2 linked regions of the Lonchura striata genome follow. The protein of the gene in region 2 interacts with the protein of the main gene of each other region in a pairwise test. Links are inferred from orthologs where the notes say so. Each region holds a gene or a part of one and is shown on either strand. Other genes may lie near its edges.

Evidence for each region.
Region 1: the proteins of HTT (region 2) and YWHAB interact in binary tests that used the Homo sapiens proteins (3 or more experiments, as listed by UniProt). The link is inferred for Lonchura striata from reciprocal best matches to the Homo sapiens genes HTT and YWHAB.

Annotation. Positions count from the first base shown.
Region 1 is NC_134619.1:9,245,958-9,253,285, reverse strand, and holds the start of YWHAB (14-3-3 protein beta/alpha), read right to left. Parts: upstream 3,007-7,328; 5' UTR 2,892-3,006; intron 1-2,891. UniProt on the Homo sapiens protein: Adapter protein implicated in the regulation of a large spectrum of both general and specialized signaling pathways. Binds to a large number of partners, usually by recognition of a phosphoserine or phosphothreonine motif.
Region 2 is NC_134606.1:9,474,181-9,481,905, forward strand, and holds the start of HTT (huntingtin), read left to right. Parts: upstream 1-4,622; 5' UTR 4,623-4,723; coding exon 4,724-4,824; intron 4,825-7,725.

The DNA.
Region 1 (7,328 bases), on a different chromosome or scaffold from region 2:
GCTAATTAAGTCATCGATTTTTGTGCACTGTTTTTCTCTCTACAGCAAGCATGAGAATCTATCAGACAAACACTTCCACTTTGTAGAAAAGAACTGGTGAGAAAGCAGTGTAGTTATTGGTTTGACATACTGGTCACTAACATGTTGAGCAGAGCTGCAAGTTAACAGACTTGCATATTTCACTGTGAGACAAGAATACAAAACAAGGTTTGGTGAAATGGGAGGGAATCATACTTCCCAGTCATAAGCTCTCTAAGTCCACTCAAATTCTACCAGAAAAAGCAGCAGACTGGTACAGAATTTGCAGTTCAATATTCCAACAATATGTGAACACACCTTATTTGATTTCTGGACAGGCAATTCATTCTGAAAATAAACATTCACGTGAGGTGAGTGGTACCTCAAATTACAGTTCTGTAACTACAGAGAGTAAGAGCTCTGGGGACATTATTTCTAAAATAAACAGAAAATCATTCTCCACCATTCAGGTACACACATGCTAACACGAGTATCTGCATGATGGGGATGGCATTCCCTGTCAACTGGACAGTGCTTCCAACATTTATTTTTTTACAGGAAACGGAGTGCAGCTCTTTCAGTTGAGTGTAAGGAACCTTCCTTGCTTTCCTGTAGCATTATGCATTTGATTTTATTAGTTGTGTTTCTCTAGATGGTTTCCTCAAAGGCTACCATGGGATGTTTGAAAATGAATAGCTCTGTTAAGATCTGAACAGCAAAATCTTCCCATCAGAAGCTTGGGTATAACAAGTTCAGTAAAATATCCTGCAAACATAATGAAGGAACATGACTTCACAGCTGTGATATTCTTGCTGACCTTGTGCAGCACATAACTTCAGCCTCCTCTGCATCTACTCTGGCCTTCGGCTCAAGTCTCTATGCAAATGCTGAGATAAAATTAACATTCTATAAAGCCATGCCTCACCCTGCTCCGGCCATCTGCTGCCATCATTACTTGTTGCTTCGTAAAATTGAATAAAATGACATTCAATGGCATTCACTCTCCATAGAGTATTACAAAATGCCTATGACCACTACCAACAGCACGTGGGGACACTGATATTGTACAGACATCTTAAATTTAGTGAAAGCAGCCTTGTTCTTCCTAATGCCAGGCTGAAAAGCAGAGCTCTGCTCCTGCCTATGGCCCTTTGCTCAGTACAGCTGCAGGTGGAGACATGCTGGCACTTCCACAGCACAACATCCCCACATGGCAACACCTTTTTGTTCCAACCAGCAGAACTGTTTTTGGCTCAAATCCAGGTGGAAATTGTGACTATACCCAAAAAATCTTCCCCCGGGCATAAAGTTCACGCCAAAATAATGTATTCATATCACAGGTAAATCACTTTTGTTAATAATAAACTGACAGTATTTGTATTACAGGGTGGGGCAAGGAATGTGGCCATATAATAGACACACTACTGTAATGCCTGGTATTAGGATACCACACGGATCAGAGTAGGAGCTTTTACCTCATTAACCAAATAATTATTTAGTGAGCTCCTCCTCATCCGAGTTTATTCACATGCATCACAAAAAGCTGCATACTGGCACAGGCCTGCTCGGGAAAAAATAAAACGACTCAACATCAAAATAGCGGAGATCAGAACATGCGGTACTGACATAATGAGGTTGAGAAAACTGCACCAGGCCCATCTGTGCAAGGAGTCTATCACTTTATTGGTACCAATTTAATAAACAAAATATGATACAAGGGATATTTCTGCAGTCCTTTAATATGAAGGGAGAAAAAGGCACTTGTGTTCTTGTTTTCTTTTCTAGACCAGATTTTATCTCATTATTGCTTTAAAATTAAAATAAGCTCATCTTTTTTCATATTAAAAGTGTTACAATTTCTGACTGAGGTGTCCTGAGTTAGTGAACATGTGAATACACAAATATTCCTACAGCCACTGAAGATACTAAACATTACAAACACCGCCAAAGCCTCTGATGTTCTTCCATGGGAATTTAGCTTTTATGGTGCTGTATGATGTGTCTTTTGTTCTCCTATCAGTGGAAAATGTGTTTTAACTATTAATAAGGAATCTATCTGAAAGCAACCAATTTATATTGTGTTCTTTGCATGAGATGCATTGATGCCAATACAGTGATTGCATGTCACTGTTATTTTAACATCCCAATTAATACCTGGTTATACATACCTCAAACAAAACCCAAACCCGTTAGATCTGGGCTACTGCCCAGCCTTTCTGTACGCTGGGACTGAACCAACCTTCTTTCCCTGTGGAGTCCTCCCTAAACGCATCTCTATTCCCAAATGGACACGAATGATCAAAACTGGAAAATAATAAACGGGTTTTATTCCCTTCTAAAGCGCTCCTACACGGCCACGACCACCTACGCGGGCCGGCTCAGAGCCGCGGGCACGGGCACGGCAGCTGCGCTCTCCGGCTGGGCACGGAGCTGCCGGCGCTGGGCGGCCGGAGGCCGGCCCGGCGGTGCGGGCTGGCCCCGGGCAGCGCCGCTGGCTCGGGCAGCGCCGCTCCCGGCGGGGCTCGCCGCGGGCCCGTCCCGCCGGGCGGGCCCAGGTGAGCGCGGCCGCGCCCCGGGCCGCCAGTGACTCACCGGGGCGGGGCGGCGCGGCCGCCCGGGGAGGGGCGGCGCCGCCCGCCCGCGCCCGCCGGGCGAGGGTCACGCCGTTACCCGGGCCGGGGGACGCAGGAGCGGGGAGGCAGAACCGGGGACCCTCCCGCGGAGACCCCCGCACGGCGCGCCCGCCGCGGCCTGCGGCTGCCCGCGCGGGGCGGAGCGGAGCGGAGCGGAGCGGGGGCAGGCCGGGGCGGGCTGCCCCGGGGTCGCGGTGCCGATCCCCCCACGCCGATGCCCGCCCCGGCCGCGGCCCTCACCTGGCGGCGCGCGCGGATCCCACGGGCGGAGGGAGGCGACGGCAGCGGCGGCCGCTCCACGGACACGCGCACACACCCTGCGGCGCTCGGCCCGCTTCCGCCGCGCGGCACGCCCCTTCCGGCGCCAGGGGGCGCCACCGCCCGCGCGCCGCCCCGGCGGGACGGTCGCCATGGCGACGGGGCCCGGCCCGGCCCGGCCCCGGGGCTGCGCCGGGCTGAGCGGGGCCGAGCGGGGCCCGGCGCTGCCGTGCGAGCGCGCCCCGAGCGGGGAGAGCCCCCGAGACACGGCCCGTGCTGCGCTCACACCCCGCAGCCGCCGCGCTGCGCGCTCTTTGTCTCCGCGGAGCTCCCCGGTGGGGGTCCAGGGGAGGGGTGCTGCGGCCTGCAAGTGCAGCAGCTTCTCCGGCAACAAAAGGAACGGTTTCTGGTTTTCTTGTCGTTTCGCACTGCTGTTCTTTGGCTGGACCTCACAGTAGAAGTGATAGAATCACAGAATTGATTAGGTTGGATAAAGCCGTCTAAAATCACCGATCTATGACTGAACGCTTCCACCCCGCTTAGAGCATGGCGCTGCACCCGGTCTTACACACCACCGGGGACAGTGACTCTGCCGCCTCCCTGAGCAGACCGTTCCGAAGGGATATATATCGGACATCTCGGAAAACAGGCAGTGTGGTTATTCTCTGCACCCTCAGAAATAAAACCTGACAAATGCTTTGAATTGCAAAATCACCTTTAAATGCTGTTTTAGTAGCAGCTCTTCCCTACAACTTCAGTTTTCACTGAAAAATCAAGATCCATACTGGCTAGATAAGATTCATGCAACTTACAAACTGCATTTTTCTAAGGAAATGGCAAAAGAGAACATTTTTGGGGCATGAGGAGAAGTCTAGCTTGGTGTCCAAAAAGGAATCCAAGTAAAAGAGTTCAGTTTTGTAATCCGTATAATCCTTTTGGATAAGAAGTGACAGGACACACAACTCAATTGCACTGCACCCAGATCTCAAATTTATGGCAGCAACACTTGTCAAAGTGTTATTATTTGGACTCGGTTCAATTACAGCATTCTGGAGTCCAATTTTCTCTTCTACTTTCAGATACAGTCCTGGGCCCATCAAAGTCACTGTCAGATTCCTTTTTGGTGATGGAAGGACTTCATTAATTTCCTGCTTAATCTCAGTCCAAAGGTTAATTACTTTGGAAACTCAGAAGGAAAATTACTTGGCACCCACGAGTTATCTTAAGCTGCAAACACTGATTCAGCTCCATTAGTTGCTGTCATCACTCTCTTTTTTCTTTTTGAGGCAAAACTTGTTTTTTACCCCTGATCCTCTCCATAGTCCTTATCTTCTCAGTTTCCATTTGGGCCATTCCCAGTGTTCTTGCTGAGGCCTTGAAGGTGCTGATTCATGGCAGAATTACTTGGTTTTGACATTCCTTGCCTCCATATCTGTGTATCATACTCAGTTTGCAGAGGTGTGCTGTCAACACCTGTTCATTTGGACTTCCACTGTGCCTTCTTCACCCTTCTCCTCTTCCTACCTGTGTTGTCACAGCTCATGCCTCTTCCAGTGAGGTGCACTGAGCTCCTTTCATACAGCTCCTCCAATTTGTCCACACAAAATTCTCATCATCACCGCTGAAATGCAGCACTCAATCCTTCTCAACTGCTATTTTTGGACCATGCAATCTCCACCACACCATCCAGGTAGGGCAATTCTATACTGTGTAGTCAGAGAGGTGAAGCATCACCCTCTGCTGTCACAGAGCTCCTGCAGCTGTGTCCCTGCTGGGCCAGAGGCCACCGAGACAGAAATGTGTTAATGATACAGATATTCCTCCTTGAGCTTTTCCTACCCTGGGGGCTTCCCAGTCCTGTGCCTGGTCTGGTGCTAGAGATAAGCAGGGCACCCTGCAGTTCCTCCAGGGATGGTGAAGGCTGGAACCAACACCAAACCTCAACTCTGGAAAAGCTTGCACCAGCAGCAAGTGGTTCAATGTGTCACCCTTCAGAGGAGGAAGTGCACATTGGCTCAAAGAATCTGAGATACCCAATCTGTGCAAGAACAGCCATTATCTCAGGGACAGGCTGGATCCATGAGGAAACAAGCACAACAGAGAGACCAGCTTGCCTGGCTCTCCAGCAGAAAATGTCCTGTTGTGTGTTTTTCCAAAGAGCCACATTTCAGGTAGGTAAGTGTGAGGTCTAAATGGAATTTGGCTTTAGCTGCTGGTCAGCGTTAACCTGTTACTGCCCTGGGGAGCACAGAGCAGCTGCCCTAAGAGTGCTCACACTGAGCTACAGCCTCACAGACCGTAAATCCAGAAGGGAGGAAATCACAGGATTTGGTGTGAAAGAGGATACAGCTCATGGCTGAGGTGGAGTCCCTTTGCTGAAGGAGTGGTTCTTTACAAGGACTGTGAGACCAAAGCCCTACCCTGGATACACCACAGGCTTCATCCTTCAAAGGAGGCTCTGCAGGGCTGCAAGGACAGTTTGTTCCTGTCTTGTGCAACTGATTCACTATAGAGAGCGAGTTTCCATCTCCAAACCACTTCTCTTGCACTAAGTTAGTACTTAACATCAATAGCAGGTAAAAGAAGTGTAATAAGCTTTTTGACAAAGATGTCAGTTGCCAAACAGGGAGGGCTGGCTCTATTCCTGTGCGAGCAGCAATGTCAGAAGCTGTTCCCAGCAGATGGCACAAGAGCTCGAGCTGCTCCAGTCTCTGTACCTGCCCTCAGGTGTGCGGCTTCTGGTACAGGAAAAACGAACCTGAGATTTGTACTAGAACAAGTGGACAAACCTTTGTTCAGAAATGCCATCCTGACGAGTCGCTCAATTTTTGTGATTTTTTTTTTGTTTGTTTGTTTTTGGTCATTTGTGTTGAAAGTAGTAGGTCTCAGCTGCTGTGGGTACCAGAAGCAAACAGTTGATGGCACTGCATGATCGCTGTCCCTGCAGCTGATGTCTCCCTGCAGCCTGACCGAGTGAAAAACGAGGGTGTTTCATTTCCATGCTGTAGGAAAGACACTCACAAAATGTAATCGCCACCTATTAAGTATATTTTATTTCTTGATTGCTTTGGTACTCATTTTCCCAATCTTCCGCTCTGTGTATGAGAGTGTACAGCCTGGATACTTCAATTGTTCTAGAGCTGGATCTCACAGATCACTAAATAGTGGATTAGGTGATGGATCCTGCATGGAACTGGTGCAGCGGTTTATGGCAGCTGACAGAACTGACCTGCTGGAGCTGACAGCTGGGATGTCCACCAGAAGTCTCATCAGTAAATTAAGAATTTCATCATTTGTCAATGCTGGTTGTGGTGTACTTTGAATTGCACATGATGGTCCTAAGAAGGAGATTTGTAAGGAAGAAACAAGGAACATGAAAGAGCAAAACAGTACTTTTAAATTAGTATTTCTGCAATAGGAAATTTTTAAAAGCTCCAAGGTAAAAACTTCTGCAAAACATCTTGTACTTTCTCTGTGCATAAGCTGCTTGTGACATTATAGACTACTGTGATGAAGTTAAAACTAGAATTAGGTTAGTTAGAACTAAAATTACAACTAAACTGGGCTCAGGCATAAACATCTTGCATAGGATAGAACTATTAATAAGTTTAATTAAAGCAACATTTAAAGCAAAGAGCATCAGGTTTTCCTCATGGTCCCTGCCAACTAAATGCTAGACTAAGTAATACTTTGTTGGGCAACTTTCAGTCCTTCCTTCTGTCCAAGGAATGCAAGTAGTTTAGTTCAACTTCTCTATGAAATGCGATTTGGGCAAAAGTCAAATTGGTGTTTTAATTTTAAGGTGTTTAAAGGTCTGAAGGTGACTTTGGAGAACACAGTTAAGAGCATAATTGCAAAGCAACTTATAAGAAGTAACTGTGGGAGCATGAAAATATAAATGACCTAAATAGTATAAAATAGTATGATGGGAAATGTGGTTGGAACAAACGTCTTGGATGGGATAGGAATTCAGCTCCAGGAATGCAATTTTGGCAGTAGTGCCCCAAACAGAGAATGCTATTTCTGGGGAAATGCACTGAACTCTGGGTCATGAATTAAACTCAGGTAATTTATGTTCTGCTCATAAAAAGTGGCAGTGCAAAAAAAACAAGCAGAAATGGAATGGAATATATTGCTGTAAATTTTTGTAGCTGTTGGGACCTGGAGAGTCGTTGTGTACTTCTGGTGCCAGGTAATGCCTAAGAAAAATTCAAGCCAAGGAACACATAGCAAACCCTTCAAAGCTGCCAACTCAGTGACCCTAAGGAAATCCAGTTTCAAAGCAACATATGAAGAGAGGTTTGAAGAGGTGACTTCCCAAAATCTGAACTTTATTTATTAGCTGTTTCTGACAAGCTCTAAAGAAAGGCAAATGTCTTGATATTTTGAAATTGCATGGCGTGTGTTCATTTTCTGAGG
Region 2 (7,725 bases):
TCCAGGAATCTGTGAAGAAAGAGGGCTAAATGAAAGGGAAATTGTTCCTTAGAAGTGGTTATTTACATGTCCGCTTTTTTGGAAAAAGGAACTCCTTGTAAAAAAGTGAGAATTTGTTTTTATTAAGTTTTACTTATTTCACAAGTGTAATTTCACAAGTTTTTCCTTAAGTTCAGAATAGTACTATTGAATTGTTTTTGAGTGAATACATGTTTGTTCGATTATGACCTAATTTCATTGGGTTTGGGGTTTGGGTTCTTTTGGTTAGTTGATTGGTTCTTCCCCAACAGGCTCAAGATGGCATTGTTGTCCTATAAATTTGTCCCTTTTGGCTAGAAATACGAGCACATAATAATGACTGCATTTATCTGATGTGAATCCCCTGGAGAATTAGAAAAAACAAGGAACTGGAAGGATAAGCAATCAGCATAAGTCTCCTTACACAATACACAGAGGGAAGATGTTATGCTGTTTAATCTAAGGTGACTTTACTTATACTCCAGTCTTTACTGGAATATAAGGAGCTTGGAAGTGCATCTTGAAAGCAGGGAAAGGCTAAAGAGAGGGGAGAATGCCTGAAAGCAAAATATCACGGTGCAAGAAATTTAATATGAACTTAACTCTTGAATTTTTTTAGGACAAAGCTGGGACAAAGAAGGGGGAAAATAGCAGGTTATGTTTACTGATCATGTGGCCTTTTACTTCCATGAAACTGTTGGGGTGGGATGGGGGAAGCCAACATAATTTCTTGTAATTCAGCATGACTTCATTCTCTAGACCCATGTGTTAGAAGGCTTTAACAGCACTGAGACAATCCGATGTTCTTCTGGTGCAAGATTTGGAAAGACCTATGGAATTCCATGGAGTTATTTGCATGAGATCAACCCTCCTTTCCTGTGGCGTGTTTCCAAGTATTTGTGTATGTAAATCTTCATGTTTGCTTGCAAGTACCTCAAACCTCTCTATTTAGCTCAAAATTCAGAAACTGTGAAACAATGTACCAGTGTCTTATTGATTTACTTAATGCTTTTCAATGTTGTGACCAGAAGAACAAAATCTTCATGCCTCAGGGATTTTTTTTCTATTAAGAAAGCTGTCAGCTTCCCCCTGTCCCCTGAGGTGCGTTCATAATAGAGATGGTATTGTTTCTGGATTATAAAAACAACAGAACAGTCTCAGCTGAAAAAATGAGCACTTAAAACCAATAGTAAGTAGGGAAAAAACCTGTAGTATGTGTGTAACAACAAGAGTGTTACTGACAAACCTTAGCCTTTAATATCACGTTCTTTTTTTTTCCCCCCAAATCATTCATAAAACAGTAGTCCTGAATGTTTTTGAGTATGAAAGAGAATTATCTCCAAATCAAAATAAAATCATCTGGTTTATAAATCAATGATAGAAGCTATTGAAACCAACTAACAATCCATTATTAGAATGCACTTCAATTATTTTTCGAACTACACTGATGTAAGAATTTCTTCATTGCCATTTATACAGATGGAGAATACTTGTTTACAAGTTACTAAAATATGACAACAAAAGTAATAATTTTCTATGGTTTACAGTTTAGCATTATATGAATTTAACATGGGACTTATCTTCAGTTTAGTTAGTATAGGTTTTCAGAAACACTTCTCTTTAGGAAGTGAAATTCTAATTATTGGAAAGCATCTTTAAGCTGAAGATTTGATTTTAATTACTCACTTCGCTTATTTGGTGATGATTATGTCTCTTCTGAATGAATTAATGAAATATTCTTTTTTATTTCATAATTGCTGTTGTGGTGTAACTTAAGTTTTGCACATGACATGTAGGTAACTTTTTTCCATGATCCAATTGTGTCCAAAACACCAGAATTCTTTCCAGGCATAGGAAGCTGACTGTTAAATGTGATGTGTTACTTCCAGCATCTCCAAACCACTGACTGTTTTTGTGTGAGCTGTTTTCCTGGACATTCTAGCATTGTAATTCCTAAAATAAAAGCAAAACACTGCCACATATCTCAACCACATGTATTACTGTCTAATGTGATTTATTTACCATGTCTATCATGGTAGCTGGGATTGAAAAAGAAATAAAAAAAAAGAAAATTGTAATTAAAATAAATTTCCAGTTTCTTGAAGCAGGAAATGTCTCCTACATAGTGTAAGCTTTTTACCAGTGTAAGACAGTGGAATCCAGGAAAAAATGCCCCAGTTCTGCTGTACTGGCTCAACTGATACCTTATCTCATGGTCTGGATCTAGACTTTGGCATAAATTTCCATGTGAAAAGACAGAATTATCGGGATGGGCTGTTTTTCATTAGTACATTTACTGTAATTTTATAGCATGAGTTGAAGGACAGAGCCCCCAAATGCTCTCCAAAAGGGCTTCAAATTAAATGACCTTAAAACATTCAACTGTGCTGTGACATATTGCAGATGATCCGAGCATATGCCAAACCATGTGGGCCAGCAGTGTCACGTACCAATTACCTACTGAATTGTTCATGGAAATGCAGAAATGCTGGCCAAAGTGGGACTTCAGGTTAGGGTGAAAAAATACTCTTGACATGCTTATCTTAAAAGCATTAAATCAAGAGGTAACTTAAGAAACAACATTAAAGCATGTTTCTTTTCTTTCCTTTTTCTTCTGGAGGCTGGGATTAATTAGTTGTCATCCCCTAAATTTCAGATCTTCTTTTAGGTATGCACTGTTAATTGGAACTTCATTTTTCTTTGAAGTAACGCTGACTTTACAAAAACACTTCTCTAATCCTGCCTTGCTTTTTCTTGCCCCTTACCTCGTTTACACCTCTTTACTTTTGTCAGAGTGTGTGTTTGTGGGACAGATCAGTGACGTGATACCTGCAAAACCATGGATCAGTCAGTTTGGGCTGGCAGAACCTACTGATAGAAAATGCTGATACCCGGAATTACCTCCCAGTTAGCTCACAGCTAATGAGCCTCAGCGCTGGAGCTCGGGACAGGGAGAACAAAGAGCGCCGAGCTTGCGGGCAGGCACGGCCTTGGCGCTCCTGCCCGTGAGTCAGCAGCCCGCAGGGACTGGCACATCGCATGGAAAGCTTCAAAACAGCCTCGCAAGGTGGCTTGGTTAATCTTTGATAAGACCTTATGCTCTTTTTACTCACATTTATTTCAAAGTGTGGAGTGGCACATGCACAGAGTGTGCAGCATTCCAACTCTGCTGTCATCTCTTATCGTGTATCATTTGCTAAATAAAAAATTCATGATTATCCACATGTTCCAGAGAAACGTTTCTGCAAGCTTTATCATAGAATTATCAGAAATTCTGGTCTTACCTTAAAAGCTCACATTTTGTAGCACTTCTATAATGAAATAAGGTTTTGTTCAAGTTGAATTGCTTTCAGGGCTAAGGATAGGTTTCCTTTCAGAGGACTGTTTCAAATAGTTTCTTTTATTAACATACTAATAAAATTAACTGGCAGAGAGAATGCTGTTCTAGTGAGTATTTGGCAAGAATGTTATCTATGACTTCTTTTGCCCTGAATTTTCAGAGACATGAGCTTTGCTTCATTTCTTCATGTCTGCTAACAATAACCAAGCTGAGTTACTGGAAATTTATTTTCTTAGAATTCCTGAGTTGTTCTCCATTTTTACTGCTGGAACCGGTTTTGTGTGTGTGAGATAAATTGAATTGCCAGTTCTCATCAGCTGTAATTTAATGTCTGTATTAACAAGTAGATATATTAAAATCAGTGGTTGCAATTGGAAACTTAACAGAACTGTCGATTTTTTCTGTTTACTAATGGAATCAATGACTTGAATATTCAATACTGTCGCTCTTGTATCCTGTATGTGCGCACACTAAGTATGCTCTGATAAAGCAGATCCACACTCAGGAACGCAGCGCTGAAAGGCCAGCACGTGCGCTGCCGAGTTTTAAGTGTCCTGTTCCTGTAAGAGTCTCTGCAGCCTAAAATAAAACCGGAGTGCCGGCAGCGCCTTTGGCCGCCACTTGTGCCGCGGGGGCTGGCGCGTTACCTGCTGCGCACCCGCCACGTGCGGCCGCACAGCGCCTGCTCTCGCTTTGCGGTGCCGCTGGGAGCGCGGCTCCCCGCGGGGCAGTGCCAGGGGCTGCCGGCGGCTCCCCGGGCCGCTGCCAGGGCCGCTCCCCGCCCGCGGCACCCCCGGTCCCGCCCGGTCCCGCCCGGCCCCGCCCGGAGCCGAGCGCGGCCCCGCCGCCTCCCGGGCGCCACCGCCGCTGCCGACAGGGGGCGCCGCAAGAGCCGCGCTCGGCCGCTCCGGCACGCGGCGAGGGGCGGAGCTCCCTTCTGATTGGCCAGAGCTCCTGTCGCTCTGGCCGCTGCCCCGCCCCGCCGCGGCCCGCGTGTCCCCGTGTGCTCCGACGTAATGGGGCGCGTGACGCCAGGCCGGGGTTGCCATGTGCGCACGCGCGGCCGAGCCCCGGCCCGCGGCCCCGCTCCGGGGGGGCGGGGCGGCCCCGGGGGCGGGGCCCGCGCGCGGGGGCCGGCGGGACGGATCCAAGATGGCGGCGGGGCGGACGGGAGGCGGCCGCGGCCCCGAGCGGCGCCCGCCCCATTCATCGCGGCTGTGACGGGCCCGGGCCCGCCAGAGCGCCGGCACAGCGCCGGGAGCGAGCCCGGGGCAGCGGCAGCGGGACAGCACTCGGACCCGCCAGGCGCCCGTGACAGGGCGGGTCGGAGCGCGGGCCGGTGCCGCCGGCGCGGGCGGAGCGGACATGGCCACCATGGAGAAGCTGACGAAGGCCTTCGAGTCGCTGCGCTCCTTCCAGCAGCAGCAGGGCCCCGCCGCCCTCCCCGAGGAGCCGCTGCAGAGACCGTGAGTGCCCCGCGCCGGGACCCGCGGCTCCCGACACGCGTGTCCCGCGTCCCGCCCGGCCCGGCCCGGCCCGGCCCCGTTCCCCGGCAGCGGCGGCTCCCGCGGCCGTGCCGCGCTGCCGCTGGCGGCTCTCTGCCCCGCTTCACACGCGGAGTAACTTTTGGGCCAAGTGCGTTTGAAAAGTCACCCGTGCGGGAAATGGCCGGGAGGTACAGCAACGCTGTGCGGCTTTCACAGGCTGGTTCTAGGAAGGAAAGCCTTTTTTTCACTTAGTACACTGCTGCAAAAAAGACCAAAACCCTTAAGCATAACTTGAATAAAGCACTACTTTGAGCATTTTCTCTTGTGATAACTGCTGAAGCGCTTTTTGTGAGACCTTGTTTTTCTGTGCTTGACGCTTTCTGCATGAGTGTCCTTTTTCTGAACTATCTGCAGCCGATTGTACCGCTTTCCTGAAATGAGGGTTCAAGGCTGAGCAAGAGAAATTTCTTCCACTCTCTTATTCACTTTTCATATCTTTACCTAAAGTTCATGTTGAAGTTAAGAAATGTTTTGATGTTTGTAAACTGCAAATTTGAAGAGTTTTAGTCTGAGCTCTGATGCTTTCAGAAGGAGATGTTGTGAATGTCTGTGACAAAGTTAACGTCTTGTGTGCTGCATAGGGACCTAAGAGAAGATGGTTTAAACATTCCTAATTCTTAAGTGTAAGGGATAAACGTGTTAGATCCATGAGATATCCAGGTTTCCATGGGGGGCATTGCTGGGTGCCCCAGGGCAAGGAGCTGTTCAGTACCGCGGTGCTGCCCCTTGCGTTTGCACCCCCTAACACCAGCCTTTGCTGAGCGGGTGTGGGGGCAGGAAGGTTTTTAGGGATAAAGACATGAGTCACACAGGTACTTTTTCTCCTGCTGTTGAGGAGAAGGTGGAAGCAGAAGGATTGAGGAGCAGGTAATTTCTAACTTGGCAATTTGTGGTGCTGGCAGGGGAAGTGGAGCAGTGGCTCTGGGCTCCTGGCCACCCGTTCCCACTGCACTTTCTGATACAGTTGCCAACTAAATTATCACGGTTGGTGTTGTTTCTCTCTGGAGAATGTTGTCTCAAACAATCACAATGCATTTCCACACTTCTGATGTTTAATAGGTGAGAAAACTCATCTTCTTCATGAGCTCGTTGTTCTTAGGTGCCTTATTGGTCTGCAGGGACTAATTTCTCTGCTGTGTGCATTTCTTTTTGCTAGTACTTTGTGTGACATGGATGAACATCTATTTCCAGTCTTTTCTGTGTGCTATTCAAATTTCTGTCTTGTTACTGGTGAGAGAGGTCATGGTATTGCAGGAGAAAATCCTTAGAATTATTTGTGATGCTTGTGATATTGTGCTTGGTTTGATGGTCTAAATTTAGGTATGTTCTGCTGTAAACATTAAAAAATTAGTGTTGGAGTTGTCCTCCTTGACTTTGCTTTGTGTTTAAAAATAGGCTGTTTTAAAAAGCTGATGGGATTGTATGCCCCCAGGAACTGGACAAATTCTGTGACAGCACTGAGCCTCATAAAAGCCAGTGAAAAGCTATTGTGGCAGCCTTTGCTGAGGCCTCTCAGACTTTTAGTGAAATAGCAGGTGACATATTGAATGTAATTCACAATACTATCTGCATTTGTTTTTTCTTGTTTGTAGTAGACTGAAAAGGAAAATTGTGTTTGGGGAGAAGTGTTCATCTTTGTTGTAGTTCTGTGTAAATAACACATACACATCTTGTAGTTCTGTGTAGTAAGTTCCTATCATCCTACTGAGGACTGTCTCCTGTTATGAAATGTTTTAAGATCAGAGAGATTGGGGTAGAGAAGAATTAATTGTTTACCCAGCAGGTATTTATATCTTTCTTCACTTTATTGTAAGACAATGACTCCAGAACTTTTGATAATACCATTATCCTGTCTTTTTTTATTAAAATATTTATTAAATCCAAGCTTTTACCAAGAAGATAAGATCTTTTTCTGTTTCAAGAGATGCTAATCAGCAATAATCATGTGTTATACCATGCAGTCAGATGTTAGTCTCTGGTCCCCTCTTTCTTATCTCTTGTTGGGGTTTTTTTCCCATCTATGTAAAATTGAGTTCTCCTATCATATTGCTTCTATGCACTTCTGCTTAGGCAACTAATTTTCTTCCTTATATTTTTTCAGCTTTTTCAGACTGACATTTTGTTAGAAATTGGATGTTTTGTTTTGGATCACAAAGCTCCCACTAACTTAGTTTACTAGTATGATGTAAAAATTTAGAGTTTGATTTGTGAATCCAAAAATGGATTTCTTACATTTTCTCTTGTCAATTTATTGTAGTAGTCACTTACTGTAATTGTTTTCAAGTTTTTTACATTTGATTCCAACCATTACCTTTACAGAAAAGGTACTGTAAAAGCCCAAGCAATATGGTTTTTTTTCTATACTTTTCAATTTTTCCGTGTCTTTTATGTTTGACTGAAGCTGTAGATTGGTTTGGTCAGTGCTATATGGCGGCCTAGCATTAATGTTTTGTTTTACTGAAGATCACACAAACTGCATGGGTATTACCTATGGGCCTGCTTGTCAGAAGCGGTTCCTTGATGGTTTTTTACCATGTCTAGGGTATGTAGTACATCAGTTCTGGTTAATTTGACAATCCATCATTGCCTGCATTAATGCACCTTGTTTCTGGGTGTCCCCTGTGTTTGGACTGAGTTTATTTCTTGATCTGATCCACTCATATTTCTGTTTGTTATTAAAATAATAGTTTTTAGTTTCTGTTATTTTTGTCAAGATCAATGTCAAGCCATTTGGTTTGGCCCTTTTTTCTTATCACTGGCTCAGCTTTAGAACTTCTGTACTCTTCACATATTTTTAATTTCAAGGTCTAGTAGAATGAG